4 linked regions of the Saccharomyces cerevisiae S288C genome follow. Changing the gene in region 1 together with any one later gene gives a genetic interaction. Each region holds a gene or a part of one and is shown on either strand. Other genes may lie near its edges. The genes, in order: HSP32, FBP26, AMN1 and RSF2.

Region 1 (7,217 bases):
TACCATGGGACACCAGTGATGACTCTGGTGACTTGTTCAGCTGGAATACCAGTCAACATGGTGGTGAAGTCACCATAGTTGAAAACAGCTTCAGCAATCTCAACTGGGTAGGTCTCTGTTGGATGAGCTGCTTGAAACAAGTAGTATTGAGCCAAATGAGCTCTGATATCGGAGACGTAAACACCCAATTCGACCAAGTTGACTCTTTCGTCAGATGGAGATAGAGTGGTAGTGGCTGGAGCAGCGGCAACACCGGCAGCGATAGCGGCAACACCAGCAGCGATTGAAGTTAATTTGACCATTGTATTTGTTTTGTTTGTTAGTGCTGATATAAGCTTAACAGGAAAGAAATGAATAAAGACATATTCTCGAAGGCATATAGTTGAAGTATCTCTATTTATACCTATTCCTTCATTGGTCATCACCACTTAAACGATTCGTTAACAGATGCTCCTTTAGCACTTCACATATTCTCCATATCTCATCTTTCCCACAACTTCATGATCACTATGAAGATGTTTTTGTTTTTAAACGAGGCATGCATCTTTATAGATTCTGTATGCGAAGGTATTGTTTTCTGGGGCCTTTGTCTATTCGTATGCGCCGAATGTGAGAATGCCAGTTATAGGGGTGCCGAGGTGCCTTATAAAACCCTTTTCCGTGCCTGTGATACTTCCTTTTTTGGTATAGCAGAATGTCTGAATTTAGTTGCTATAGATCCTCGTTCAGAAGCGTATTGCTAAGCCTATCTCCAGTATACCCTAAACGATCGCCGAGAAAAAATAATACTGTACCCTCCTATTTCCCGGAATTGTACAGAATAGTAGGTATGTGCTGGGAGTCGTATATTGTTAGAGTCTGTAATTTTTACGCGCGCCTAGTGGATTCGTTGATACGATTACGTTATTCTAAACCGTCGCAAAGCAAATTGTGTTGAAGTAATTCAAGACTTTAAATCACTTGTACCAAAATCATTGTTGCGAAAACTTATCCTCAGTATTAGTTTCTTGACCGTAACAGTAGTTGAAAAAAATAAAATCATTTCTATGATCGATACACTTTCATTATTTAACTTCTCTATTATGGTGTAACTTCTTACTTTTGTCAGAAAAAAAGATTTCAAGACACAACAAGAATGGGGTCAAAGGTCTGCTTGTACTATCAGGAAGATTTGATACCAACCGCGTTATAAGGGTTACTAGAAAGTAATAGCTGCTAAAAAATTTAAACCGAAGAGATTAATCAGAAAGCTGAAAAACTGCAGTGTTAGTAGAGTTGTAAGCATTTCTTGATTGGAACAGCCTTCCCCCACACGTCCACCCTTGTTCAGACAGATTCGTAATGATTTTGTGTGTAGGCAATGGAAAACTTTAAAAACGGTTTGATTTCCTACAAGATAAAACATATGAATAAAATAACTTGTGTCAAATGCCCCATTTCCATACTGTAACCCAAATCAACGAAATAAAAAATAAAACCTCATATGATTTACTTTATTTAGTCATAAAAAAACAAAAAAAAAAAAAAAAAAAAAGGAAACAAGACAATCCTTTATAGTTTGTTTCCATCATGAAACCTATGACCAGCATATATACAATCGTCCCCCAGTTCCTCTTCGATACGCAAAAGTTCATTATACTTGGCCAGTCTTTCTGATCTCGACAAAGCGCCCGATTTAATTTGACCACATCTTAAACCAACGACCAAATCAGCGATAAACGGATCTTCGGTTTCACCTGATCTATGCGATATCATTACACCCCATCCAGCATCGAAAGCCTGATTGGCGGCTTCAATAGACTCAGTCAGAGTACCGATCTGGTTGAGTTTCAGCAACAGAGTATTCGCACATTTCTCCTCTATAGCACGGGCGATCCTGGTCTTGTTGGTGCATGTCAGGTCATCTGCAATAATCTGAACATTGACAGTCTTTAGGAAGGCAGACCACGAGGACCAATCATCTTCGGCGTAGGGATCTTCCAGGGAAATGATTGGGTATTTCTTTAGCAATGAATGGTAATATTCTGCTAACTGGGCTGGACTGAGCCAGTGAGATGGGTCAGAGTTCGGTTCCTTGAAATTTAGGTCGTATTTCCCGTCCTTATAAAAAACAGAAGGAGCACTATCGATTCCTACTTTCACTCTACCCTCGTAACCGCATATGTTAATGGCTTCCACAATCATGTCCAAGGCGTCTTCGGCAGTGTCAATATCGGGGGCAACTCCACCCTCGTCACCAACATTTCCAGCGGAAGGTCCATATTGCTCCTTCGCCAATATCTTCAAATGATGGTAAACTTCCGAACCCATCCTCATGGCTTCTGCAAAGCTCTGAGCCCCGACTGGCGCGATCTTGAATTCTTGCATAGCTAAAGAGCCACCGGCGTGGGCTCCACCATTCAAAACATTGAAAAAAGGAACAGGAATAACAAAGGGGTCCTGTCTAGCATCCGCTAACTCGGCTATATACTTGTAGAGAGTAATTCCCTTTTGTGCGGCAGCAGCTCGAGCAACGCACAAGGAAACACCAAGGATAGCATTGGCGCCCAACCTTGACTTGTTAGAAGTTCCGTCTAACGATATCATGAGCTCGTCTATGCCCTTCTGATTGGTTACACATAATTCGGACTTGATTAAAGCAGGCCCTATGATACTATTGACGTTACTGACTGCCTTGGTCACCCCTTTTCCCATCCATTCGGACTTGTTCCCGTCTCTAAGTTCAACAGCTTCGTGAATGCCGGTGGAGGCACCAGATGGGACGATCGCTCTGAAGAGACCATTCTCTGTTGTAATTTCAACCTCAACAGTCGGATTGCCGCGAGAATCATACACCGTTCTAGCATGTACCTTCGTGATGGACATATTTTTATCGTTGAGATTCGATTTTTTCCTCACCTTGTTTTGGTATTTCTATTGCAAGACAAAGTGAAAGAAGAAGAAGTGGTGGTAAAAAATAACTATATATAATGAAAATTGTAACCTGGTGGGAGTGCAAACTGTAAGTGATAACCTGCCAGATCCATGTTTCTATTATATACCTAAGAACCAGCCAAGTTAGGTAAACGAGGAGTCTTTCAATATCTCTTTTCTAGTGAGAATGTTATTTAGGTAAATGAACAAGTTACCACTATACTACTCACCCCCTACACTTTGTTTGTGACCTCTCCCCTTATCCAGTTCATCGAAACTTTTTTTTCAACTTGTGGCGATCTGTGACATTGTCTACTACAAGAACCGATTTTGGTTGATGTCTGTAAAAAAAACAACCTTACCTTTCCAGATCCAACTTTCCAGGAGAGCTGCGTGAGTTTCAAATATTTACCATGTCGGAGAAAGCTCCCAAGTACTTCCTTGTTCTTGTCATTTTTTCCTTATCTCCATCCTTTAAGGAAGGTATTTCCATTATGCGATTCTATAAATCCGAGCATGCGAGTATTTCTTTTCTTGGCGCGGAGTCGCTGATGACGCAATAGGCACATTCACGAACATCCAGGACTGGTAATCTTCTCGTCTTAAAGAAAATCCAACCACCAGTAAGAAACTCTTGGGTAAAATGGGGTATCTGAAATATTGCATAGCTGCAAATGAAGATATTCAGTATCAGCATAGGTATTTTCATGAAGGATAGGTAAAAAGAAAGAAAAGAAAAATATCTTTTTGACTGTTGTTCTTGCAATTATCACAATTAGGGGACTTTAAAACCGATACTTGATATATGAGCACAGTCAAGGGGCCGGTTCTTGAGATTTTAATGGAAAAGAGGAAAGTTGCACATACAGGTCTGCTTTTCTTTGCTTGCTCCAGACAACGATACTTAGAACTAAAACATATTTCTAGAACACTTTTCTCCTTCATTCAAAAAGAAAACTGGCCTTGCAATGACTCCAAAAAGAGCGCTAATATCTCTTACTTCATACCACGGTCCCTTCTATAAAGATGGTGCGAAAACAGGCGTTTTTGTAGTTGAGATTTTGCGGTCGTTCGATACTTTCGAAAAGCATGGTTTCGAAGTGGACTTCGTTTCTGAGACTGGTGGATTTGGCTGGGATGAACATTACTTGCCAAAGAGCTTTATTGGTGGCGAAGATAAGATGAACTTTGAAACGAAAAATTCCGCCTTCAATAAGGCGTTAGCGAGGATCAAGACCGCAAATGAAGTCAACGCCAGCGACTATAAAATATTCTTTGCATCTGCTGGACATGGTGCTCTATTTGACTATCCCAAAGCTAAAAATCTGCAAGATATTGCATCCAAGATATATGCCAATGGGGGTGTGATCGCTGCCATCTGTCATGGACCGCTCCTTTTCGATGGATTAATAGATATCAAAACAACAAGACCATTAATCGAAGGCAAAGCTATAACAGGTTTCCCACTCGAGGGTGAAATCGCCCTGGGAGTTGACGACATCTTGAGGAGCAGAAAATTGACAACGGTTGAACGCGTTGCAAACAAGAATGGAGCCAAGTACTTGGCGCCAATCCATCCCTGGGATGACTACTCTATTACAGATGGAAAGCTAGTTACGGGTGTTAACGCAAATTCTTCCTATTCGACCACAATTAGAGCTATAAACGCATTATATAGCTGAAACAAAAGACAAGGGAATTGTTGAAGGGGAGGCTTCTAATGGCTTTCAGTTTCTGTGAAGAGAAGGCTAACAGCTCAATGGTTCGAAAGGTAAAGAAAACGGCAGGTCGGTAGCACTCGATTTTGCTAGAATGGAAATCATATAGAGAACAATTGAATAGTAGGCCTTGGTTTTTAGTGTTGTACTCATCATGGTCATATGTGACATAGGTAATGTACATATATATATAAAAAAAAAAAAAGCAATGCTGTGAGATCATTCGTTACTTACGAAATACGCAGATTGCAATTTGAAATAAGCTGTGTTTTCTTTTTTTTCCTTTTTTTTTCTTTTTTTTGGCTTGTTATATACAACTTTTTTCTATTTCTGTTCTTTTTAGAAGTAATTAATTGGTACATAGGAAATAAATATGAATTATATTAAATGAAGTAAAAGTAAAAGAAAACGGGGAAATTTATCGTTTTGTAGTAAATAGATGATGGAACGCATTCATAAAATCTCACAAAATATTACAATAAACCGCAGTAGTCGGTAAAAATGTATTATACAACGTCTAAAATCTTGAAAATGAATTAAAAAAAAAAAAAGGTGGGATGATTGTGCAGGAAAAGGTATGAAGAAAAGATCCTAACAAATCGGGTTAGTCAATCCTCTAGTCCAAGCATAGGATCCGAGAGTTATCACCAATAAGCAATATGAAATTCCAATCGAAACAGTATAATAAATAAGCATGTTAATAAATGATAGCTTATACCCTTCATTGATAAACGTGCTAATGGTACTCAAAGTGCCGCAAAATCCGGATATTAACGCAGAAACAATATGGCATGAATTCAACGAGTTCACAATTGGAATATCCGTGGAAAAGTGTTTTTTACCACGTTGCACCATGGTAAATATGCCAATCAATAAAGTGGCGAAAACGTTTGCCAAGAAAGTACCCAATGGAAACTTTTTGTTTGTTTTATTAAACATTTCTGCCAACCAATATCTTAGGAAACCAGCGAAAATTCCAAATAGACATGGTAGTGTCCACTTGCCCCTCGAATAGTTCTCATAATACGCACACAGCACCACAAACAAAATAATTAATGGAAAAGCTAGTGCGTACGCGAGTTTATCCACAACATCAAAAAATTTCTTAAAAAATGGTGCTGGAGTTTTGAATTTAAACTCTAGAATATTTTTTTCCATTTCTTGTGTATCAACATCACCAGCATTTTCCTTTACAGTGTCTGAGGGAGGGGTATATGGCTTCGAAAACGAACTAGATCCATAAGCAACAATAACCTCCTTACCAAGTTGCCTACCGAAAATAAGACTACCCATGGAAACCATAAGATGAACGAGCAAGACAGATAAAAACTCCATTATACCGTAAGCTCTGTTCGGCAGTTTTGTGTGGTTAGCGATATTACCGTTAGTTAAGTTTGTAGAGTGTTCGAACATCTCTAGCAGCATACTAGAAAAGGAAGACAGGGCACCACAGTACCCAGTAGTTACACCTAAAAACAAGACTTGGTGATCTTTCATCCAAGTGTAAGCATTTAAAGATTGCATAATCCCCATTAGCATGCAGGATGAACAATTAGACCAGAGAACGGTCGGAGCAGTAACGAAGGCCGGAGTGTAGGTGGAAAGCGCCGTTATAGCCTGACGTGTTTCAGTACCTAATATGCAGAACGTGGTGAATGTACAAAAAACATGAATATAATGGCTCAACTTGTGATTTGATATGACCGGATTGAAAATCATCAGAGCATTACACGCTCGATTAAATAATTAAATAACTGCAGATTCTTGAGCCACCAGACGCTAAATAATAATGGCGGCAATAAATATAATCCTTTAGTACTTATTTCAGTTGTTTTTTGTTTTATTTTTTCCGTATCTCTTCCGTATCTCTTCCATCATTGCGTCAAAAGTGATTTACACTGCTACATGAATCGCGCCACTTTATGTCAGTGAATCTTTCATACATCGCAACTCCTCACTGACAGTGACTCTAGCAGAGTCACCATCTTTTCGATATACCCATCAAAGTGCACGATTCTCCTCCCCTGTTAGACAATCGTAACGTAATATCGACATGTATTCGTAGCACCGCTGCCAAATAATTTTCAGATCGTTCATTGTACATGAACCAAGCGCTGTTGCTTTACTTTATGATATTGCTGCTGAGCTCCCTTGTCTTTCATACGACGTTTTATCTTGATTTCATATCTTTTTTTTTTGGTAAAATAGAAAATACTCAACAGATATCTGATATGTATATAAACACTAAATAAAGAAAATCTTAAATCTTGCTGGCATGACTGTCGCTGTGTCTCAAATCTCTTAGTAATTCATAGATGTGTATCACCCCAAATCTCAAAAACTTCATAATTATTATTGGATTATCTAGAAATCATACCCTTCATACTGTCCCACAATGGCCTGCTCACATGAGGCGCTAATGATTACGATTAACCATCAAATCATTTATATTGATACACTGTAGTTTACTGTTAATAACCAACCTTTGTCGAGATTCATCAAAGTGGGTTCCAAATCCCTCATTGTGGGAACCTGGTTCAGTCATACCCATTGGAGATGGGCCCCAGGAAGGAGTGTAACAAACTT
Region 2 (3,716 bases), on another chromosome or scaffold:
ACAAACTCCAAGTTCAGCGCCTGCTTTCAATCTGTGAGCCCTTAATAATATCAAGAAGCGGACCGCCCGCAAATGTTGCATCCTCGGATACAAATGTAGACGAAGTGTTTTTTAATCGACATGATGAAGAAGAATCCTGGATACTGGACCCAATACAGGAAAAGTTGGCACATTTGATTCATTGGATAATGAACACTACTTCTCGGAAACAAACAATGAAAAACAAAATTCAATTTAGCTTAGAAGCCCAATTGGAAATATTACTTCTTATTAAATCTTCGTTCATTAAAGGTGGCATCAATGTTAAATACACTTTTCCAGCAATAATCACAAATTTTTGGAAACTGATGAGGAAATGCCGTATGATACAAGAGTACCTTTTGAAAAAAAGACCCGATAACAAGACGTTACTTTCCCATTATTCCAATCTTTTAAAGCAAATGTTTAAATTTGTTTCTCGTTGTATCAATGATATCTTTAATTCTTGCAACAACTCATGCACAGATCTGATTCTGAAACTGAATTTACAATGTGCCATTCTAGCTGATCAATTGCAATTAAACGAAATTTCATATGATTTTTTCTCACAGGCCTTCACAATATTTGAAGAGTCTCTAAGTGATTCAAAGACTCAGTTACAGGCTTTAATATATATTGCTCAGTCTTTACAAAAGACAAGATCACTCTACAAAGAAGCTTATTATGATTCTTTGATTGTCAGATGCACACTCCATGGATCCAAATTATTAAAGAAACAAGACCAATGTCGTGCTGTTTATTTATGCTCCCACCTCTGGTGGGCAACGGAAATTTCAAATATTGGTGAGGAAGAAGGTATCACAGACAACTTCTACAGAGATGGTAAACGGGTGTTAGAATGTCTACAAAGGTCTCTCCGTGTGGCGGATTCTATAATGGATAACGAACAGAGTTGTGAGCTAATGGTCGAAATATTAAATAGATGCCTCTACTATTTTATTCACGGGGATGAGTCCGAAACTCATATATCGATAAAATACATCAATGGTCTGATCGAACTAATCAAAACAAACTTAAAATCGCTAAAACTAGAAGATAACAGTGCCTCTATGATTACCAACTCAATCAGTGATTTGCACATCACCGGAGAAAATAATGTGAAGGCAAGCAGTAATGCTGACGATGGCTCTGTAATCACAGATAAGGAATCAAATGTTGCCATAGGATCGGATGGTACGTATATTCAATTAAATACTCTGAACGGATCTTCCACGCTAATACGCGGAGTCGTAGCAACTGCTTCAGGTAGTAAATTACTGCACCAACTGAAGTATATCCCAATCCACCATTTTCGACGCACTTGTGAGTACATTGAAAGTCAAAGAGAAGTTGACGATCGTTTCAAAGTCATATATGTATAGTTAAATAACGTACTTGCTCTTCGTACATGCCCAAGATAAAAAAAAACTACACAAATAAAGCTAATAAAAATTTACCTAAAGAAGGATCATAGATTAAGTGGAAGGAAACTTGTACATAATTCGAGTTTATTTTCAACTAAGATATCAAGGATTGTTTACTATAAAAACACTTAATTGGGTAATTTCTATTTTTTACTTTTTTTCTGTGTTAAAAAAATGGGTCGCGCCAATGCGCTCACAAATCTATTCTTATCCCTAACTTACATCTACATGTAAAGCGCCACTAAGAGAGCTATAGCTTATCATACATTTACATCAGGTAAAGTATCATTTTGGCCAGTGGATACGAATTTAATATATAATCTTTGCTTTCCCTTCGCTCTTAAATTCACCAAGCAAGTTTGTTAAGAAATAAAGGAAAGGGGGCTCAAAAACCGAATCAAGTAAGACAAGAAACATGGGGTACAGTACTATTTCCAACGATAATGATATCAAAGTATGTGTGATAATGGTTGGCCTACCAGCTAGAGGAAAGTCTTTTATTTCCCAAAAAATTATCAGGTACTTATCGTGGTTATCCATAAAAGCCAAGTGTTTTAATGTGGGAAATTACAGAAGAGACGTGAGTGGAAATGTCCCAATGGATGCTGAGTTTTTTAACTTCGAAAATACAGATAATTTTAAACTCAGAGAATTGGCTGCCCAAAATGCCATAAAAGATATTGTTAATTTTTTTACTAAAGAAGACGGATCTGTGGCAGTTTTCGATGCTACTAATAGTACACGTAAAAGAAGGAAATGGCTTAAAGATATATGTGAAAAGAATAATATTCAACCGATGTTTTTAGAGAGCTGGAGTAACGATCATGAACTGATTATAAATAACGCTAAGGATATCGGTAGCACATCTCCTGATTATGAAAACTCTGAACCTCATGTGGCGGAAGCTGATTTTTTGGAAAGAATTAGACAATATGAAAGATTTTATGAACCTTTGGACCCCCAAAAAGATAAGGATATGACGTTCATTAAGTTGGTCAATATTATTGAAGAAGTAGTAATTAATAAGATCAGAACATATTTGGAAAGTAGGATTGTATTTTATGTTATGAATATTCGTCCTAAACCAAAATATATCTGGCTCTCCCGTCACGGCGAATCGATCTATAACGTAGAGAAAAAAATTGGCGGGGATTCATCACTGTCTGAAAGAGGCTTTCAGTACGCTAAAAAATTGGAGCAGTTAGTGAAAGAGAGCGCAGGAGAAATAAATTTGACCGTGTGGACTTCCACCTTAAAAAGAACACAACAAACGGCAAATTATCTTCCCTATAAGAAACTGCAATGGAAAGCACTTGATGAATTAGACGCTGGCGTTTGTGACGGAATGACGTATGAGGAAATTGAAAAAGAATATCCTGAAGATTTTAAAGCACGTGATAATGACAAATACGAGTACAGATATCGTGGTGGAGAATCATACAGAGATGTAGTGATTCGTTTAGAGCCCGTCATTATGGAATTGGAGCGCCAAGAAAATGTTCTCATTATAACTCATCAAGCCGTACTTCGGTGTATATATGCATATTTTATGAACGTTCCACAGGAGGAATCCCCTTGGATGTCAATCCCACTACACACATTGATCAAGCTGGAGCCTAGGGCCTATGGCACAAAGGTCACCAAAATTAAAGCAAACATCCCTGCAGTGAGTACATATAAAGAGAAGGGTACAAGCCAAGTAGGTGAGCTTTCTCAAAGCTCAACTAAACTTCATCAACTGCTCAATGACTCTCCTTTGGAAGACAAATTTTAAATTTTACTTTTTATTTTTGTGTATCTTAAGTCCAAGCTTACTTGTGGCTGATACGCACAATCTTTTATGTACGAAAAGATCAGGAAACGTAGCATTGATGGTTTTTTATGTACGTCTGCAGCATTGTATGTAATTATTACCCAAACTAATTTTAAGTGAAATTGTAGAACGCCGCGGCGGAAGTATTTTTGAGTAAAAAAAAAAAAGTAAGATTCGAAAATGAAATTATACAGTACAGAAAACGTAAATATACAATAAAGGTTGAATAAACATACTAGATATCCTCCTTTCTTTTTGCATGTACATAGTACTGGTGTAAACTCGATATACCGATGGTCAGATTTTTTGGTTTAAACAAGAAAAAGAACGAAGAAAAGGAAAATACAGACTTGCCTGCAGACAATGAACAAAACGCAGCAGAAACGTCGTCTAGCAACGTATCTGGAAATGAAGAAAGAATAGACCCAAACAGTCATGATACGAACCCTGAAAATGCAAAC
Region 3 (7,979 bases), on another chromosome or scaffold:
TGCATAAAAGTCATTTCTTAAGCTGCACCGACACGAATTGATTGCTTTGAAGACTGTTCTTCTATCTGTGTTTCCTTCAGTCTCTTTTGAAGTTGCATTTCTGCAACGCTTTTATTCGTGAAATCTCTAAAAAAGCGAAAAATAAAAAGGCCTCCCGCGGACTTAAAACAGAACATCCGAAACATTACAAAAGGCCCCTACAATTATCTCTATAAAGGACTTCCAAATCCGAGACATTGATTCGTCTTAACACTATGAGTGTATCTTTTGGAGAATTCTGTAGTTCAATAGTTTTCTGTGAAGGAATTCTGGTTTCTTCGGCCCTTCTGGAATTTCAAGTAAAAAGTACAGAATAGTAAAATGCTAGTTAAAAATCTATGTATTCATTAAATTTAGTGCTGCTAAAAAGTTACAATTATAATAATATTATCAGTTAAGAAGTGTGTAGAATTACTGGTGGTCTGTTGTGTACTATTTATAGGTAAAGTCACAAAAACCATCTAGTCCACATTATTCTCTATTTCGTCGTCTGCATTAACCCAAGCTGTCATATCTTTTAAGGCAACCAAGGAGTTAATCCTCTTAACTCTATTTTCTTCTTGATCGATTAGTTTCGTAATACGTTCACATGCTTCGATTAGAATGGGGGCATCCAATGATTTTTTCCACAAGTTGTACTTCACGAAATGCCTCACATCAGTTATTTTATCTAAATTTCTGATCTCTAAAACAGCCAGATTTGGAAATGAGTTTAAAGCAAAAAGAATGGGTAGAGAGTAATCAGTCAAAAGACGACAGGAATTTAAAGACAATCTTTCAACATTTTTGCCATTTAATCGAGCAAATTCCCAAATACCGGCATCATCAACATCACAACCGGCAAACCCCACAGTTTCCACCTGTGTGTATTTGCCTAGCGCGACCAGTGAGACACTCGTAATTAAATTTCCACGCCTATGTCTGCCAATGTTAAATGTTTTTAATTTCGGGCAATTCAAAGCAATGCAAACAACACCTGAATCACTGACATTATCACATGCTCTTAAAACTAAGTGCTTTAAATTTGGTATGCTCTGTGATAGTCTGAGTAAAAAGTTATCATCTATGTTTTTATTGCCTGGAATAATAAGCTTTTCAAGTTTATGGAGGTTATCAAACCAGCTTAATGGGGGAGTTATTCTAGGGCAAACGTAAAATTCTAACCATTTCAAATTTTGACACTCCATTCTGGAAAGCCTTTCTATATCTGGTTGTGTTACTTGATGTAATTTGTGCAATATAAAATGAGACGGTCTCATTACTTGTGTCGTCTCCTGGGAAGTTCGTAAAAACTCCTTAAAATTATGGACGCTCTTAAAGTGCAAGCTTTTGAAAAGAAAAGGCCTTGTTACGTTAAGCCATAACCTGTTAACCATCATACAACTAAATAAGGCCCCTTGCTTCTTCTCCTTGTGTCCGACTAATGGTGGGTCTCGTAGCTGCTGGGCTGCTGACCATGCTTTTTTTGCTCTCTCTTCGTCTTTGTACATAAGCAGAGAGTGCTCATAAGATTGTGGATTTCTTCTTAAGCATGGTCTTTCCTTTGGTATATTTGCAGATTCTAGAGAAACTATCATTTTTATGATATTTTCCACAATCTCAGGAATTTCAAAGACCGCATGACTTCGCTGATGTTGAGCAGTCAAAGGTTGCCCTAACTTCAATTCAGAGAATTCATCAACAAGAATGTTTTTAATTTCCGTTGGTGTCACTATAGAAAGACTGGATGCAGAAACAACTCGAGAGGTTGCCCATGCATTTTCTGTAGCCGTATTTTTTAATGGTGTGGCCTCTGGAGTTGAAAGATACTCATTGCAGCTTTTCTTATTAGGCGTAGTTTGCACACTACTTTGAAGAAAACTTTGATCTGTTTTTAAAGACAAATCTGGTCTTACTAACTCCACTTTGCTTGAGCCGGGATTGTAACTACTTTGATGAAGATGACCTCCATACTTCCTTACAATATCTTTGAAAGGCTTCTCCATTTTAAGAGATGTGAAAGATGGACTAGGTGACATTTTTTTCAGCGGTCTAGTACACGGAGATTCAAGTGACTGGATATCTCTACCTCTTTTGAAGGAGCCATTGCTGCTTACGCGTTCTAGTTTCATTTAATGGGTACTTTACTAACAGAAAAGGAAAATGATAAATTATCAAACGAAGGGAATTATTAGTTCTAAGTGAAAGGAATGGATGGATATTAAACCAAAAAGGGATATTAAACCAAATTCAAAGAATAAAAGGAAAAGACAGGTATAAGTTCTAGAAGAAATAAACAGAGAAAAAAATGATATGATAAATAAGTTATTTTTGTACAGTTAACACATATAGTTTTAAAACTTTTTGAACGTTTTTGTTAGTTCCCTTGGGCCTTAATTCCGTACTTTAAAGTGTGAAGAGTATAGTCTATAGGACCCTTATAAAGAAGGGTTGCTATATATATATATATCCACAACTATACTCCCTTTCTTTCGTATATCTGAAGGTATCCTACTACTTGAAACAAACTTGAAGAATGGTTACTGAACAAAGGACAAGCATAAACACTCCAAGGCAAGGCGATACAAAAAACACCAGCAGGAATAAGATGATTGATGAGACATCCTAAGTCCAATAGAAGAAACAAGCGAGAAATAGCGGAACCAGGAAACCGAAGTTGAAGGAAATTCTTTCTTTCAATTAAGCTTTTTGTTACCATTTAGGAAACTTCCACGGTGTCATAATTGTGTTTTGTTTGTTTACTTCTGCAAGTTAATGAAAATCCTGGCGGACGACAGCCAGTAATGGCCGGAGAGTGCTTTATTTTGCCCAGCAAAAAAATTTTGCGAGTGTAACAAAGAGCGCGAGAGCAGACTACCACTAAGAAAAGCTTCGGGCAATGCGCAGCAAAAAATAGAAAAAAATGAGCAAAAAAGAGAAACATATTTTAACATGGTCTCCGTGCCTTCGGCGTACCCAGACAATTACGGTTAACACCCACAACGTCAAACAAGATAATATGTTCCACGCTTCGGACTAGAAAGTGACATATCACATGTATGGTAGTATCGTAGGTATAACATCCTTCCGCCATCAAACCCTTGTGGCCTATGAGTGCCTATGCAGGTAATTGCTCCAATAAAGATTAAGCAATTTTTTATCCCATAATTAATTGTCGCCAACCCAACCGAACCAATCCTTTACAATTTTTCACCTTACGCCATAACAAAAATGAGACAACCCCGCCACCTACTACTGATGCAATTATTAACACGTTTTCATCCGTTTATATTTCTCTCCGGCCGTTCAGCACCGGCTTGACCAGCCGGTGCTGAGGACAAGAAAAACACAGCGAAAAAAGGTGGGAGAACGAAGCTTCCGCAATTCTCACACACCAAAAAATGAGTTACCGGCCGTCTCTTCTTTTGCCCCTCGCATATAATGGGATTGCGAACGGAGAACGACAGCAATATAACAAGCGTACGTGATCCCTTTCATTCTGTTATATTCGAGAATAGTTGTTGACAGTGGAGATAACTCCGAAAATATCATGAAAAAGAGGGTTATTTCCGTTCGTCGGGACATTGCTGTAGAGCTCTTCAATGGCCACAACTTGGGAGCGTTAATATGCAATCAAGTTGTAGGGAAGATTATATCTCTCCAGGGATTATTACCTGGGACACAGAGCTCTTTTCCTTATCTCATCTCACGCATCTAGACCCTGCTAGCCGTCGTTTCTTATTTGAAGCGTTAATCACCCTCACTTTTCGTCCGTAGCACGTAAAAAAGAAAAATAGGGTACCGTTTACCTGTCGTTAATATGCAAGTCATTAACAATCCAGCCCAGTACTTTATTTGCTATGGCACGGCATAGGCGCAGGGAGTTCACGATTTGGTCATCAATGATTATCACGATATGGGGGTCCTTATGATCTTGATGTTCTTTCAACTGCTCTTTGTTTCTTTTTTTTTTGTACGACAGTTTATGTGTTAAAGAACACATCCACTCCAATTTTGGGTCGTTTATACTTTTGTTTCGCTAATCTTAAGCCAACCTTGAGTTTATACCTAATTATATGCCACGTTAATGCACAAAACCCCTCGTAATAAACTTTCCTTGGAAGACTTTCTTTTTCTATTCGACGCATTTGGTTACATATCTGTTGGGAAAGAGCCCTTCGACTGCAAGTCCGGCATCAAGAAAGCTTGACATCCAAAGAAGCATTTAAGTATAAATAAATGAGACCCATTCTATCTTCTCAAATAAATCTTTTACAAATATGTGAACGTCAAAGCGCATACTTAATAAAAATTTATACTCTACACCACCTTCGTTATTACTTCACTGAAGTTTCCCTTTCCAGCAAGATATGGGCAAATTTGAGCAAAAAGAAAGAGAAAGAATAAGCACATTTAGTTTTCCTACTACGGGCAGTCAATCTAGTACATCCATTAAATCACTTGGCAGCCCACTCTATGGACGTTTCAGCTCTCTCTCTTCAACAGAATCTCAGTTCGATAGCAGCAAACAACCCCATGAGTACGAAAAGAGCTTTTATTTTGAAGAGTCTCAAGGCGAAGCTCTGTTCAACAAGCTGAAGACCTACTCTTTCCCTGGAGACAAGGATGGTGTGAAAACGAGGAGAAATTCCTCCATATGTCCAAGAAAGCCTAATGCGGTATCACCTTTAAGGGTAGAAAGTAATGAATTATCATCACATTCGCATTCACGTTCATTATCACACGAACTTACAAAGCCTTCAGGGCGAAGGAAAAGTTACCACAGAAAAAGTCATGCAATCTCATTCAGCAGGTCTTGTAAGCCAAATTTCATTGACGGGTACGATTCTAATTCAAGCATAGGCGTCAATTCAAGAAAAACTTCATTGGCAAGTTCTTTCTTGGACAAAGAATATCATTCTTCACCGGATACTTCATATACCCACCAAATGTCCCCGAAAAACACAATCATGAATACCAATGAACAATTAAGAAGAAACGCAAGCGGTAGATTCGGGAGTTTGAAAGAATTCGCTGAAAAAAATCAGATAAATATTGAGGGCAAAATTTTTGCTCATAAAGTGGAAACTGGAGACATATTGCAACCACTAATTGACTTAGATATTGACAATAAATGACTGGATCATTTGTCTCGCATTTTTTTTTTTCGTTTGTTTTGATAAATAAAGGACTTAATGTTAGTTTTGATAATGTTAAATGAATATATAAAAATAAACCATGTAAAGAGTATTTTGTTACGCTGTTTCGTTATAGCGTTATGTCAGTGTTATTATTTCTTATACGCGGAAAAGCCTGATCCATTCTGTTCTGAAACCGATCTTCATATTTTAAATTTCGCGAATTAACTAAAAAAAGAAAACAAACAAAAACTCGTTTCAAGTATTGCCAATGATACAAACAAAACGTTTCAAAGTATCTCCTCAACTGACGGACTTTGAAAGAGCCCGAAGATTTAAACAATGGACTGGGCAATCAAAGCAGCTAGGAAGAAAACTCAAAGGAAGCCAGGCTCTACCCGTTCAATCATAGAAACCCTCGATGATCTAAATAATCTAACAACAGATGCACATTCAGAAATAAATCAACGATTGTACGAAAGTAGTGAATGGTTAAGAAATAATGTTTATATGAATACACTCAAGTATGAAGACAAAAAGATGGAAGAGTCTTTAATTAGCCCCGAAAATACGCATAACAAAATGGATGTCGAATTTCCTAAAATGAAAGGAGAATATGAACTTTCTAACTCCCAGAATGATGCCGCAAAAGACGTTACTAAGACACCCAGAAATGGATTACATAACGATAAAAGTATCACGCCTAAATCACTCCGCAGGAAGGAAGTCACCGAAGGAATGAATAGATTTAGTATACATGATACCAATAAAAGCCCGGTTGAGCCATTGAATAGCGTTAAAGTCGACGCCAATGAAAGCGAAAAATCCTCACCATGGTCACCTTACAAAGTTGAAAAGGTTCTAAGAGAATCCTCCAAGACTTCGGAGTCTCCGATTAATACAAAACGCTTCGATAATCAAACATGGGCGGCTAAGGAAGAAATGGAGAATGAACCTATACTTCAAGCTTTAAAGAAAGCTGAATCAGTAAAGGTGAAACCACCACCGAATTCTGGGATAGCGAGATCTCAAAGAAGGTCGAATATGTTTGTTCCACTGCCGAATAAAGATCCTCTTATTATTCAACACATTCCACCAACAAAATCTTCAGGATCAATACCAAAAGTACGAACAGTAAAGGAATCACCAATCGCATTTAAAAAAAAATCTACGATAAATAGTCCTGCTATAAGAGCTGTGGAAAACAGTGATACCGCGGGATCTACAAAAGCATCCAGTGTTTTCGATAGGCTATCATCTATTCCAACAAAATCATTTGAAAACAAAATTTCCCGTGGAAACGTTGGTCACAAATACTCCTCTTCATCAATCGATTTAACAGGCTCCCCCATGAAAAAAGTTTCTCAAAAGTTTAAGTCAATAAACTCCACGGATACTGATATGCAAGAAGCGTTAAGAGATATATTCTCAGTAAAAAATAAAATAACCAAAAATAATTCACCCAAAGGAAAAAACTCTCGAAAATCCTCTATTCCGAGGTTTGATAAGACTTCTTTGAAGCTAACGACACACAAAAAGCTAGCAATCATTGCAGAACAGAAAAAGAAGTCCAAACACTCTAGTGATGTTCATAAAACTGGTTCAAGACCGCACAGTATTTCTCCAACAAAAATAAGTGTCGATTCAAGCTCGCCATCTAAAGAAGTTAAAAATTATTACCAAAGCCCTGTAAGAGGTTATTTGAGACCAACAAAAGCGTCTATTTCGCCTAATAAAAATAAAAATTTAACAACGTCGCAAACGCCACATCGTTTGAAAATTAAAGAGAAAACATTAAGAAAACTTTCTCCGAATATTGCTGACATCTCCAAGCCAGAGTCTCGTAAATCCAAAAATTATCGGCTTACAAACCTTCAATTACTTCCACCAGCAGAGGCAGAACGAGATGACTTAAAAAAAAAGTTTGATAAAAGGTTATCAGGAATTATGAGGTCTCAACAGGAACATCATCGGCGTAAACAAGAGAAACAAAAAAGGATGTCGCATTTGGAACAAGATCTAAAAAAGCAAACAAGCTTTAGTAATGACTACAAGGACATACGTCTAAAAGAATCTTTGGCTCCTTTCGATAATCATGTGCGAGATACCATCAACAAAAATACTGCATTTAGTACCGACAATATATTGGCCACAATAAATACAGTTGACCATCGAGAAATAATCGGAAATGTGACCCCAAAGATAGCCTCTGTCAATGATTCTTTACCAGAGATAAATACTGATTCTGAAGATGAGGCTAGCGTAACTTTAGCGGCATGGGCTAAATCCCCGTATTTGCAAGAGCAATTGATAAGACAGCAAGATATAAATCCACAAACTATCTTTGGACCAATTCCGCCTTTGCACACCGATGAAATTTTCCCAAATCCTAGGCTAAACAGGTTGAAACCGCGTCAAATTGTGCCCAAAAGGTCTTGAATTCGATTACCCCAGAAAAGAAAAATTCAAACTGGTTAACATTAAATCAAGTACACTTTAAATACTCTGGTATTCCCCCTGCATTACGTATATCGTTCACTTTCTTTACTTTTCCTTCTTGCTTTGTTATTTCTATCTACAACTTTGCGTTACATATTTTTAACTATTTGACACTTCACACAGATCTTCTTTCTAAGGCTTTTTGCTTATCCCACTTGGAAATCCACCCTTCACTTTCTACCTTTGGCACAATATATATTTTCAAAGCGTTATCGAACAATGGTACATCTGGCGACTCTTTCTTCAAGATATCGTGAAATGTCAGTTTCTTACCAGCTTTAATCAAACCACCTGCCTTTGTTTCCATGAACACCAACACTTTCT
Region 4 (10,591 bases), on another chromosome or scaffold:
GAAAATACTTGCTAGAAGAGTTGGAAACAAGCAAATCTAACGATGTCCTGCATGCATCGAGATTTGTTTGTGAGATGGAACTTGTGCAAAAGACGAATGCATATTATTGCAAAACCATAGTCAAGATGCTCTTAGACCACGAATGGATTTTCGCGAAGGCATTCACAATTGTCAACGATGGCGAAGACGAGATAGAGATATATGATTATCTCTATGAGAAGTACATAAAACTATTAAGCACAGGCAAGCCAGACCCGATGATGAAAGACGTCGTGAGGTACAGGTTTGACGAGGACGTAAAGATCAAAATTGAGGAAACACCGAATTTGATCAGTGCGGCCAGTACTACAGGTTTCAGGACATGGGAAGCTGCCTTATACATGGGTGATTTCCTTATTCATAAGCCCTTACAAGAGTTGGCACCGGTACAAGGACAAGACGATGGCAAGAAAAAATTAAATGTTCTTGAGGTCGGCGCTGGCACAGGCATAGTGAGTCTCGTCATTTTACAAAAGTATCACGAGTTCGTAAATAAGATGTACGTCACGGATGGTGATTCGAATCTCGTTGAGACGCAGCTGAAAAGAAATTTTGAATTGAACAATGAAGTGCGTGAGAACGAACCAGACATCAAGTTGCAAAGATTATGGTGGGGCAGCGATAGAGTTCCTGAGGATATAGATTTAGTAGTGGGGGCAGATGTTACGTATGACCCAACTATCCTTCCTGATCTATGCGAGTGTCTGGCCGAATGTCTTGCTTTAGACCGATGCAAACTGTGTCTCCTATCCGCGACAATTAGAAGCGAATCCACTGTCCAACTGTTTTCTCAAGAGTGCAATAAACTCGGGCTAAAATGTACCATAGTCACCAGCACAGAGTACGACGCAAACAACGAGATCCGCGCGATGAAAGCCCTGCAATTCAAACCTTTGATTGCACCCATACGGATCTACAAGATCACGAAACAATAAGATACATGTGCAAGTACAAGTTCAAAAATAAAACATAACTAAAAAAAAAAAGAAAAAAAATATAGTCATCTTCTGACACTCGAGTCTCATTCAGCTAATCAAAACAACTAGCAATCCACTCGAGTTCTTATAAATGACCCGGAAATTGATCTCTCCACATTACGCTTATCACGAATAAGACCGAGTGTTCAAATAAATAGCTCGATCTTCGTACTGTCTAATGCGGTGGATTAGTACTTTAGGACAAAGTTACTTTTTTTCGGAAGGAAACTTCAAAAATAGAATTAACAAATAAGAAGGAAAAGCGAAAAACAAATCTCATTGCCTGTGCTTTCTTTTATACTTTTTTTTTTCGCTCGGAACCTCTTGCTTATACACGGTTTTTTTCCACGGAAACCTCGGTTACCCTTCAATTACTGGAACGTTAGGGCACAATCTAACAAATATATATACTGGCTTACAAGATGTAACAAACTACGAATAGTGGTACGAAGCTTATCACATGCACCATTATCTGTAACTGGGTTGCCGCCAACAGCAGACTCATGGGCTGGTTGAAAAAATCTTGGAAAACAGAGATAAACAGCTCGGCAGATAACATTTCCTGCGACCTTAATGCTGCGTTAGGTGTAATTGTCGCAATTTGCGGCCGGCCATAGTTGTTCGTGCTACAATATATGGAAGAAGCAACTGTTTTTGAATCAACGGTAGTAACGACCTTATATCATCATACACGAAAATACGCACAGACGGGGGTGAACCACTCCAGGGGCAGAGTAGAGTGTACAAGGAAAATTGTGATCTCGCCGCACGGTGCTGCATCGCGGAAATTCTCCGTAGGGCAACGGATAAGGTAACTGCGTATGCGGCATCGACAATAGGTAACTACGCGAGCAACTTCTATTAAGAGAAATAATTTTTGGGAAATGGCCTGTTTCGGATGGAACCGTTCGCATTTGGACGAGGGGCGCCTGCATTATGCATACTAACCGCGGCCGCTCGAATAAATCTGGACAATTTTGTTCCGTGTTGCTGGGCACTTTTCCGTCTGTCTTTCTTTTTCCCGCTTGACCCTGCATATATTAGAAACGAAAACAAAGAAACAAGGACTTCTTGGATTTCCATAGAGTTTTTTTTCTTCGTTAAACATTGCCTCTCTCAACACACGTTTTTCTCGAAGACTCTTGCACCAAAAAGAAACTTTAGGGCGAAGAAGCTAAAAGACATTGGCGATACTAGAATAGATAGGGCAGATAAAGATTTTTTATTAGTGCCGGAGCCAAGTATGTTTGTGAACGGTAATCAATCTAATTTCGCTAAGCCCGCTGGTCAAGGTATTCTGCCCATTCCTAAAAAATCTCGAATTATTAAGACTGATAAGCCAAGACCGTTCTTGTGTCCCACATGCACTAGGGGTTTTGTCAGGCAGGAGCATTTGAAGAGACATCAGCATTCGCATACCCGTGAGAAACCGTATCTTTGTATCTTTTGCGGTAGGTGTTTTGCTCGTAGAGATTTAGTGCTCAGGCATCAGCAAAAACTTCATGCTGCTCTTGTAGGTACGGGGGATCCACGGCGAATGACGCCAGCACCAAATTCGACTTCTTCTTTTGCCTCCAAGCGGCGCCATTCCGTGGCGGCGGATGATCCAACCGACCTTCATATCATTAAAATAGCCGGAAATAAAGAGACTATTCTACCCACCCCGAAGAACCTTGCTGGTAAGACATCTGAAGAATTGAAAGAGGCCGTGGTTGCCTTGGCCAAATCAAATAATGTAGAACTTCCCGTCTCGGCCCCAGTAATGAACGATAAGCGAGAGAAAACTCCTCCTAGTAAGGCAGGCTCCCTAGGATTTCGAGAGTTCAAGTTCAGCACGAAAGGCGTGCCAGTTCACTCTGCATCAAGCGATGCTGTTATCGACAGGGCGAACACTCCCTCTTCCATGCATAAGACGAAAAGACATGCGTCTTTCTCTGCATCCAGTGCAATGACTTACATGTCTAGTAGCAATAGCCCCCACCATTCAATTACCAATTTCGAGCTCGTTGAAGACGCTCCGCATCAAGTCGGCTTTTCTACTCCACAAATGACCGCGAAGCAGCTCATGGAAAGCGTGTCAGAATTGGATTTACCTCCGTTAACCCTGGACGAACCACCGCAAGCTATCAAGTTTAACTTAAATCTATTTAACAATGACCCCTCCGGACAGCAACAACAACAACAACAACAACAGCAAAATTCCACCTCTAGTACCATAGTGAACAGCAACAATGGAAGTACAGTTGCTACACCTGGAGTGTATCTCTTAAGTAGCGGTCCATCTTTAACCGATCTTTTGACAATGAACTCTGCACATGCAGGTGCGGGAGGATACATGTCTAGCCACCATTCGCCATTTGATTTGGGCTGCTTCAGTCATGATAAACCGACAGTTTCTGAATTTAACCTTCCGTCAAGCTTCCCGAATACTATACCGTCTAATTCTACTACGGCTTCTAATAGTTACAGTAATTTGGCAAATCAAACTTATAGGCAAATGAGCAATGAGCAGCCGCTTATGTCACTATCTCCTAAAAACCCACCAACAACTGTTTCAGATTCCTCTTCCACGATCAATTTCAATCCAGGCACAAATAATTTACTGGAACCATCAATGGAGCCCAATGATAAGGATAGTAATATCGATCCTGCTGCCATAGATGACAAGTGGTTATCAGAGTTTATTAACAACTCTGATCCAAAATCTACCTTCAAGATCAACTTCAATCATTTCAATGACATTGGGTTTATTTATTCTCCACCTTCATCAAGGTCATCTATACCAAACAAGTCACCTCCAAACCATTCTGCTACCTCATTAAATCATGAAAAAGCTTCTTTATCACCTCGCTTAAACTTGAGTTTGAATGGAAGCACAGATTTACCAAGTACACCACAAAACCAACTAAAGGAGCCTTCCTATTCTGACCCTATTTCCCATAGTTCTCATAAGAGGCGTCGTGATAGCGTCATGATGGACTACGATCTATCCAATTTTTTCAGCTCAAGGCAATTGGATATTTCCAAGGTATTAAACGGGACAGAGCAAAATAATTCTCATGTGAACGACGATGTTCTCACTTTGTCTTTCCCCGGCGAAACTGATTCTAATGCAACACAGAAACAGCTGCCTGTTCTTACTCCTTCGGATTTGTTATCTCCGTTTTCTGTCCCTTCAGTATCTCAAGTGCTTTTTACCAATGAGCTAAGGAGTATGATGCTAGCCGACAATAATATCGATTCAGGAGCCTTCCCCACAACTAGTCAATTGAACGATTATGTGACTTACTATAAGGAAGAATTCCATCCATTTTTTTCATTTATTCATCTTCCTTCTATCATACCTAATATGGACAGTTATCCCTTGTTATTATCTATCTCCATGGTCGGAGCATTGTATGGGTTTCATTCGACGCATGCAAAAGTGTTAGCTAATGCAGCTAGCACCCAAATTAGGAAAAGCTTGAAAGTTAGTGAGAAAAACCCGGAGACGACAGAGTTATGGGTTATACAGACATTAGTATTGCTAACGTTCTACTGTATTTTCAATAAAAATACAGCCGTGATCAAGGGGATGCATGGTCAGTTGACGACTATTATTCGTCTCTTGAAGGCCTCTCGTTTAAATTTGCCCCTAGAGTCCCTATGCCAGCCGCCTATTGAGAGTGATCATATTATGGAATATGAAAACAGTCCTCATATGTTTTCAAAAATAAGAGAGCAATACAACGCGCCGAATCAAATGAACAAAAACTACCAATATTTTGTATTGGCGCAGTCACGTATCAGGACTTGCCATGCGGTATTACTTATATCTAACTTATTTTCTTCACTGGTAGGTGCTGATTGCTGTTTTCATTCAGTCGATTTAAAATGTGGTGTTCCATGCTATAAAGAAGAATTATATCAGTGCCGAAATTCCGATGAATGGTCGGACCTATTATGTCAATACAAAATAACGTTAGATTCGAAATTTTCGTTGATTGAATTGTCTAATGGTAACGAGGCATATGAAAATTGTTTGAGGTTTCTTTCTACAGGCGATAGTTTTTTTTACGGAAATGCTAGGGTTTCGTTAAGTACATGTCTATCATTGTTGATATCTATCCATGAGAAAATACTTATTGAAAGAAATAACGCAAGGATCAGTAATAACAACACCAATAGCAATAACATTGAGTTGGACGATATTGAGTGGAAGATGACTTCCAGACAACGGATCGATACAATGTTAAAATACTGGGAAAACCTTTATTTGAAAAATGGTGGCATCTTGACACCTACCGAGAATAGCATGTCAACAATAAACGCCAATCCAGCAATGAGGTTAATAATTCCGGTATATTTGTTTGCCAAAATGAGACGGTGTTTGGACCTGGCACATGTTATTGAGAAAATCTGGTTGAAAGATTGGTCCAATATGAATAAAGCTTTGGAGGAAGTTTGCTATGACATGGGTTCATTGAGGGAAGCTACCGAGTATGCACTGAATATGGTGGATGCGTGGACTTCATTTTTTACGTACATTAAACAGGGCAAGCGCAGAATTTTCAATACTCCTGTATTTGCGACCACATGTATGTTCACTGCAGTATTAGTGATTTCGGAATACATGAAATGTGTAGAGGATTGGGCACGCGGGTACAATGCCAACAACCCTAACTCAGCATTATTGGATTTTTCGGACCGTGTCTTATGGCTAAAAGCAGAAAGGATTTTGAGAAGATTACAAATGAACTTGATACCGAAGGAGTGTGATGTGTTGAAATCGTACACTGATTTCTTAAGATGGCAGGACAAGGATGCCCTAGATTTGTCAGCACTAAATGAAGAACAAGCACAAAGGGCCATGGACCCGAATACCGATATAAATGAGACAATTCAACTAATTGTAGCGGCAAGTCTATCCTCCAAATGTTTATATTTGGGTGTTCAAATATTGGGTGATGCGCCAATTTGGCCTATAATATTATCGTTCGCTCATGGTTTGCAATCAAGAGCTATCTATAGTGTTACGAAAAAAAGAAACACTAGAATATAAGTCCGATTTACAAATATATAATGGCGGCCGTCTCTATACTATAGTATTTACAGAATTAAAGCTTAGAACTATCATAACTTTCATAATATACCACCAGGCTTCAAAAAGGCATTGTTCCATTCGGAGTTTGCTTGAGTTTGATGGCCCGGGTAAAAAGGTTTGACAAGGCAAGGGGCCGTACTTATTAAAACAATTTCAACATGCACAATTAAGAATGTAAGAGATATATGAGAATGATACAGAGAGAGAGAAAGAGAGAGAAAGAGGAAGGTCAATTAAAGGAGAGAACTGTTGTTAATATGGCAGACCCTGATGACAATGAGGCCGAAGCCACTGGATTACAACAATATAGTGGCGAGACCACTCGCGATGACAATGAAGAAAGCATGAATGATTCTTTCACTTTAACATCCAGGAATAGAGGCAGAAGTAATACAATATCTAGTATTGTTAGTGGTTATGAAATAATGAAAGAACATATGGACAAGGAAAAGTTTATGTACTTGATTCTAGCGAGTCTCCTTTTGTACATGGGATTTGTTGCCGCATTTGCTCCCAGGACGTCTTTATCAAGAGACTTTCGGCGGTTTCACTCTTCCAGATTGACGAATGCAGAGGTTTATAGGATATACTTGAACTCCTTGCAACAGGAAAATAGAGCGAAAGAACATGTATACAAGTATGCTGGGTACATGAGCAACGGAGCAAGTGATTCGTCAACGTTTAAATATACCTTGGACGAGTTTCTAGATATGGGGTACAAACCCAAAGTTGAAAAATATTACCCATGGATAGGTGAACCAGTAGACACTAACGTAGCTCCTTTAGAAAATGGTAAAGTGGTCTACGAAGCAAGCATGATCGAGGATAGAGTTAAAGGTGATCCTGCTTCTCACGCTAGGAAAAGGCAAAAGGGTTTCCATCAATATTCAAAAAATGGAAGTGTAACTGCTCGATACGTGTTTTGCAATTATGGTAGCATCAGTGATTACAAGCTACTTTTGAAGAAAAACATTGATATTGAAGATAAAATCCACATCGTACGATCGGGTAAAATATTACCTGGATTAAAGGTAAAGAATGCAGAACTTTATGGCGCTTCCAGTGTCATTATATATACAGACCCATTTGACGATGGTAAAGTTACTGAGGAAAATGGGTTTTTACACTATCCTTATGGACCAGCAAGAAACCCAAGTTATATTAGGAGAGATTCTGTAAACTATTTCAGTGACACTCCAGGAGATCCGACAACTCCAGGGTATCCCTCCAAGGATTCCGACACTGAACATATGTCACCGGTAGGGAGAGTGCCGAGGATACCATCGGTGCCGATGAGTGCTAGAGATGTCCAACCAATTTTAGAAAGATTGAATGGCAGGGGTTTTCAAATTGGGCCCGGTAGTAATATAAAAGATTTTGGATCATTCACTGGACCTTCAAGCTCTATCGATAAAGTCCATTTGCATAATGAGCTAACTTACAACATCAAGGAAATGAGTAGTGTAGAGGTTAGTATCCCTGGTATATTCACTGAGGGGGAGATTATTATCGGAGCTCATAGGGATTCGCTCGCCTCGAGTAGCGCCGGTGATGCAAATAGTGGCAGCGCTATTCTTTTAGAAATTGCACGAGGAATGAGTAAATTACTTAAGCATGGTTGGAAGCCACTGCGTCCTATCAAACTAATAAGTTGGGATGGTGAACGATCCGGCCTTCTGGGATCTACAGATTATGCAGAAGCTCATGCTGCGATTCTCAGGAGAAGGGCCTTGGTATACCTAAATCTAGATAATGCAATCTCTGGGACAAATTTTCACTGTAAAGCCAACCCACTTTTACAAGACGTGATATACGAAGCTGCTAAGCTCACGGAATTTAATGGGCACGAAGACTGGTCATTGTTCGACCATTGGAAATACACTTCTAATGCCACTATTTCTCTACTTGATGGGTTGTCTAGTTACACTTCATTTCAGTACCATCTTGGAGTGCCCGCTGCACATTTTCAGTTTAATGCCAATGATACTTCAGGCGCAGTCTATCATAGTAACTCCGTATTCGATAGCCCAACTTGGTTGGAAAAATTTACCAATTCTGACTACAAGTTACACAACACCATGGCCATGTTTGTAGGTTTGACAACGCTGATGCTGAGTGAAAACGAACTGGCAAGATTCAATACACATGTTTACCTGAAGAAAATATATAACTGGTATATCGCATGGCACTCTAATCTATCTTCAGCATTTCCCCAGGACGATGAAGTGAACAGCTTAGCAAAAAGGGTTCTGGACTTATTAAAAGTTGCCACACAGGAAGATAGCATCCAATTTGACCAACAAAATGGTATTCTCTATAAAGAGTGTAGGGAAGCTTTACCTGTTTGGGCTTTTTACAAAAAAATCAAGAGCTATATTAAACTGCAACGATCCAATAGCAAATCAAAGCAAATTGATCAATTATTTATTACACACAGAGGACTGAAAGACAGGGAATGGATGAAGTACTCTCTTTTAGCACCTAGTAAGTTTGAGGGATCTGTCGGGGAAGTTTTGCCCGGCCTTCACGAAGGATTGGCTGATATTGATAGAAACGAGGTCATTCAGTGGTTAACCATTTTGCTAAGCCAATTCAGCAACGTTCGCTATTTACTTCAATAAGCATTTAAGTACCTCACCTCAGTATATACATTTATTTTATTTGCATACGTAGAGTGACTTTGAATAATAACCATGAGAGGCTTTTTTGTATATACTCTATAAACATGGCTTCAATTTCTTATACATGTCACACCGTACGTTGTGCGAGGTGATTAGGAAAAGTAAAAGGGGACTAGAAGAATCATGAAATGATTTGTAGATACAGTTATTTGAGGAAAGCAAAAATTACCAATTCAGGAAGGTGTAGGGACGTCGATAGGAGATCACATCGTTAATTAGTGTTAGGAAGAATGAGTTTAGAGGATACATTAGCCAACATGTCATTATATGACGCCAAGAAATATTTTCGTAAAGCTCAAAATGTTGTTTTCAATTATACTGAGATGGAGGGGAAAGTTCGTGAAGCGACAAACAACGAGCCTTGGGGTGCCTCATCCACTTTAATGGACCAGATTTCTCAAGGAACTTACAATTTCAGGGAAAGAGAAGAAATTTTGTCCATGATATTCAGAAGGTTCACTGAAAAGGCAGGTAGTGAGTGGAGGCAAATTTATAAAGCCTTGCAATTGCTCGATTACCTTATCAAACACGGTTCTGAAAGGTTTATCGATGATACAAGGAATAGCATTAACTTAATTAGGATTTTAGAAACTTTTCACTATATTGATTCCCAGGGAAGAGATCAAGGAATTAATGTCAGAACTAGGGTCAAAGCTTTGATTGAATTATTGAGCGACGATAATAAGATACGCGCAGAAAGAAAAAAGGCAAGAGAAACGGCAAAGAAGTACAAGGGCGTTGCTGGAGGATCTGCCTCTGCTGATGGCAGTTTGAATTCGAAGGCAGGTTTCACGTCAACGAAAGTGCACGGCATTAGCGTGAGTGCTGATTTCGATAGTGACAATGAAGATAACGAAGATGGTTCTTTTAGTCAAAATGGATATAACGATAATGCCTCGAGAGCCACATCTACTCCTGGGCAAGGAAAACAAGAACCAGAGGACTTTGTTGACTTTTTTTCTAGTGAGTCTTCAAAACCATCTAAAGAACTCATACAAGAAGATGAAAAGAAGGCGGACGAAGAAGAGGACGATGATGACGAGTTTTCAGAATTTCAAAGCGCCGTCCCTGTTACCAACCCTGCTAATTCGTTTAACTTGCTAAACACGAGCCCAATTGAGGGTATGCCCGCCACCACGAGTTCAATGCCTTTTTATAACAGCTCCACTACCGACCAAGGCAAGATTACCCCAGCTATTGCGGAACCTAAAAAAGTAGATCCTTTTAGCTCTCTCTTTTCAACTGCAAAGGCATCTGCAGAAGCACCTAGTGCTCCTAAAGCATCCCAAGCGAAAGCCGCTGCCTCTAATCCTGTATCTAATAGCACAACTGCACTAAGTACAGATCAAGATGATGATGACGAATTTGGTGAAATGCATGGTGGAGCTGTTCAACAAGAACAGAATACCAATAATAACCATACATCATCCAAAGAAATCGATTTACTTTCCTTTTGAGTGATATTATTGGTTTACACAATATGTAAATGTTTTATAACAATAGAAAGTACTTTGTAACAGGTATTACGAACATTACTATCTAATCTCCACTGTATTTCTCCTTTATATGTTTGTCTTGATTTCGTGAAATAGTTTGTGAACATTTTTTTGATCTTTTTTTCGTAAAGAAGGGCCCTTTTCAAATTTATTTACATTTTGGTCATTTGAAAATACTTTACTTAAAAAGACGAGGAAGAAACTGTAAATCCATAGTTCGAGAGTTGAAGTGCCCTTCAAAACAAAAACTCCTGACTTTTTTTGCTCATTTTTAGTCAATGAACTAAAACTCACCTTCCTTCTCGTTTATTTTTG

What was found.
Region 2: mutations in HSP32 (region 1) and FBP26 together harm fitness more than expected from each alone (negative genetic interaction), as found in Saccharomyces cerevisiae (one large-scale study listed by BioGRID).
Region 3: mutations in HSP32 (region 1) and AMN1 together harm fitness more than expected from each alone (negative genetic interaction), as found in Saccharomyces cerevisiae (one large-scale study listed by BioGRID).
Region 4: mutations in HSP32 (region 1) and RSF2 together harm fitness more than expected from each alone (negative genetic interaction), as found in Saccharomyces cerevisiae (one large-scale study listed by BioGRID).

What each region holds. Positions count from the first base shown.
Region 1 is NC_001148.4:8,006-15,222, forward strand, and holds HSP32 (glutathione-independent methylglyoxalase family protein), read left to right. Parts: upstream 1-3,881; coding exon 3,882-4,595; downstream 4,596-7,217. Other genes in the region: seripauperin PAU22, read right to left, coding at 1-422; phosphopyruvate hydratase ERR2, read right to left, coding at 1,552-2,865; FEX2 (fluoride transporter), read right to left, coding at 5,223-6,350; YPL278C (uncharacterized protein), read right to left, coding at 7,048-7,217. UniProt on the Saccharomyces cerevisiae protein: Catalyzes the conversion of methylglyoxal (MG) to D-lactate in a single glutathione (GSH)-independent step. May play a role in detoxifying endogenously produced glyoxals. Involved in protection against reactive oxygen species (ROS).
Region 2 is NC_001142.9:128,785-132,500, reverse strand, and holds FBP26 (fructose-2,6-bisphosphatase), read left to right. Parts: upstream 1-1,857; coding exon 1,858-3,216; downstream 3,217-3,716. Other genes in the region: retromer subunit VPS35, read left to right, coding at 1-1,400; SSY5 (Ssy5p), read left to right, coding at 3,549-3,716. UniProt on the Saccharomyces cerevisiae protein: Monofunctional, high-specificity fructose-2,6-bisphosphatase, which releases phosphate from the 2-position of fructose 2,6-bisphosphate. Has no detectable 6-phosphofructo-2-kinase activity.
Region 3 is NC_001134.8:550,720-558,698, reverse strand, and holds AMN1 (Amn1p), read right to left. Parts: upstream 2,151-7,979; coding exon 501-2,150; downstream 1-500. Other genes in the region: IFA38 (ketoreductase), read right to left, coding at 1-14; ICS2 (Ics2p), read left to right, coding at 4,389-5,156; SLI15 (Sli15p), read left to right, coding at 5,499-7,595; HSP70/90 family co-chaperone CNS1, read right to left, coding at 7,771-7,979. UniProt on the Saccharomyces cerevisiae protein: Negative regulator of the mitotic exit network (MEN), required for multiple cell cycle checkpoints. Acts in the daughter cell to inhibit the mitotic exit pathway once MEN has executed its function.
Region 4 is NC_001142.9:654,383-664,973, reverse strand, and holds RSF2 (Rsf2p), read left to right. Parts: upstream 1-1,914; coding exon 1,915-6,057; downstream 6,058-10,591. Other genes in the region: EFM3 (protein-lysine N-methyltransferase), read left to right, coding at 1-974; YJR128W (uncharacterized protein), read right to left, coding at 1,694-2,053; VPS70 (putative zinc metalloprotease), read left to right, coding at 6,285-8,720; ENT3 (Ent3p), read left to right, coding at 9,011-10,237. UniProt on the Saccharomyces cerevisiae protein: Transcription factor that regulates expression of both nuclear and mitochondrial genes, and more specifically those required for glycerol-based growth and respiration.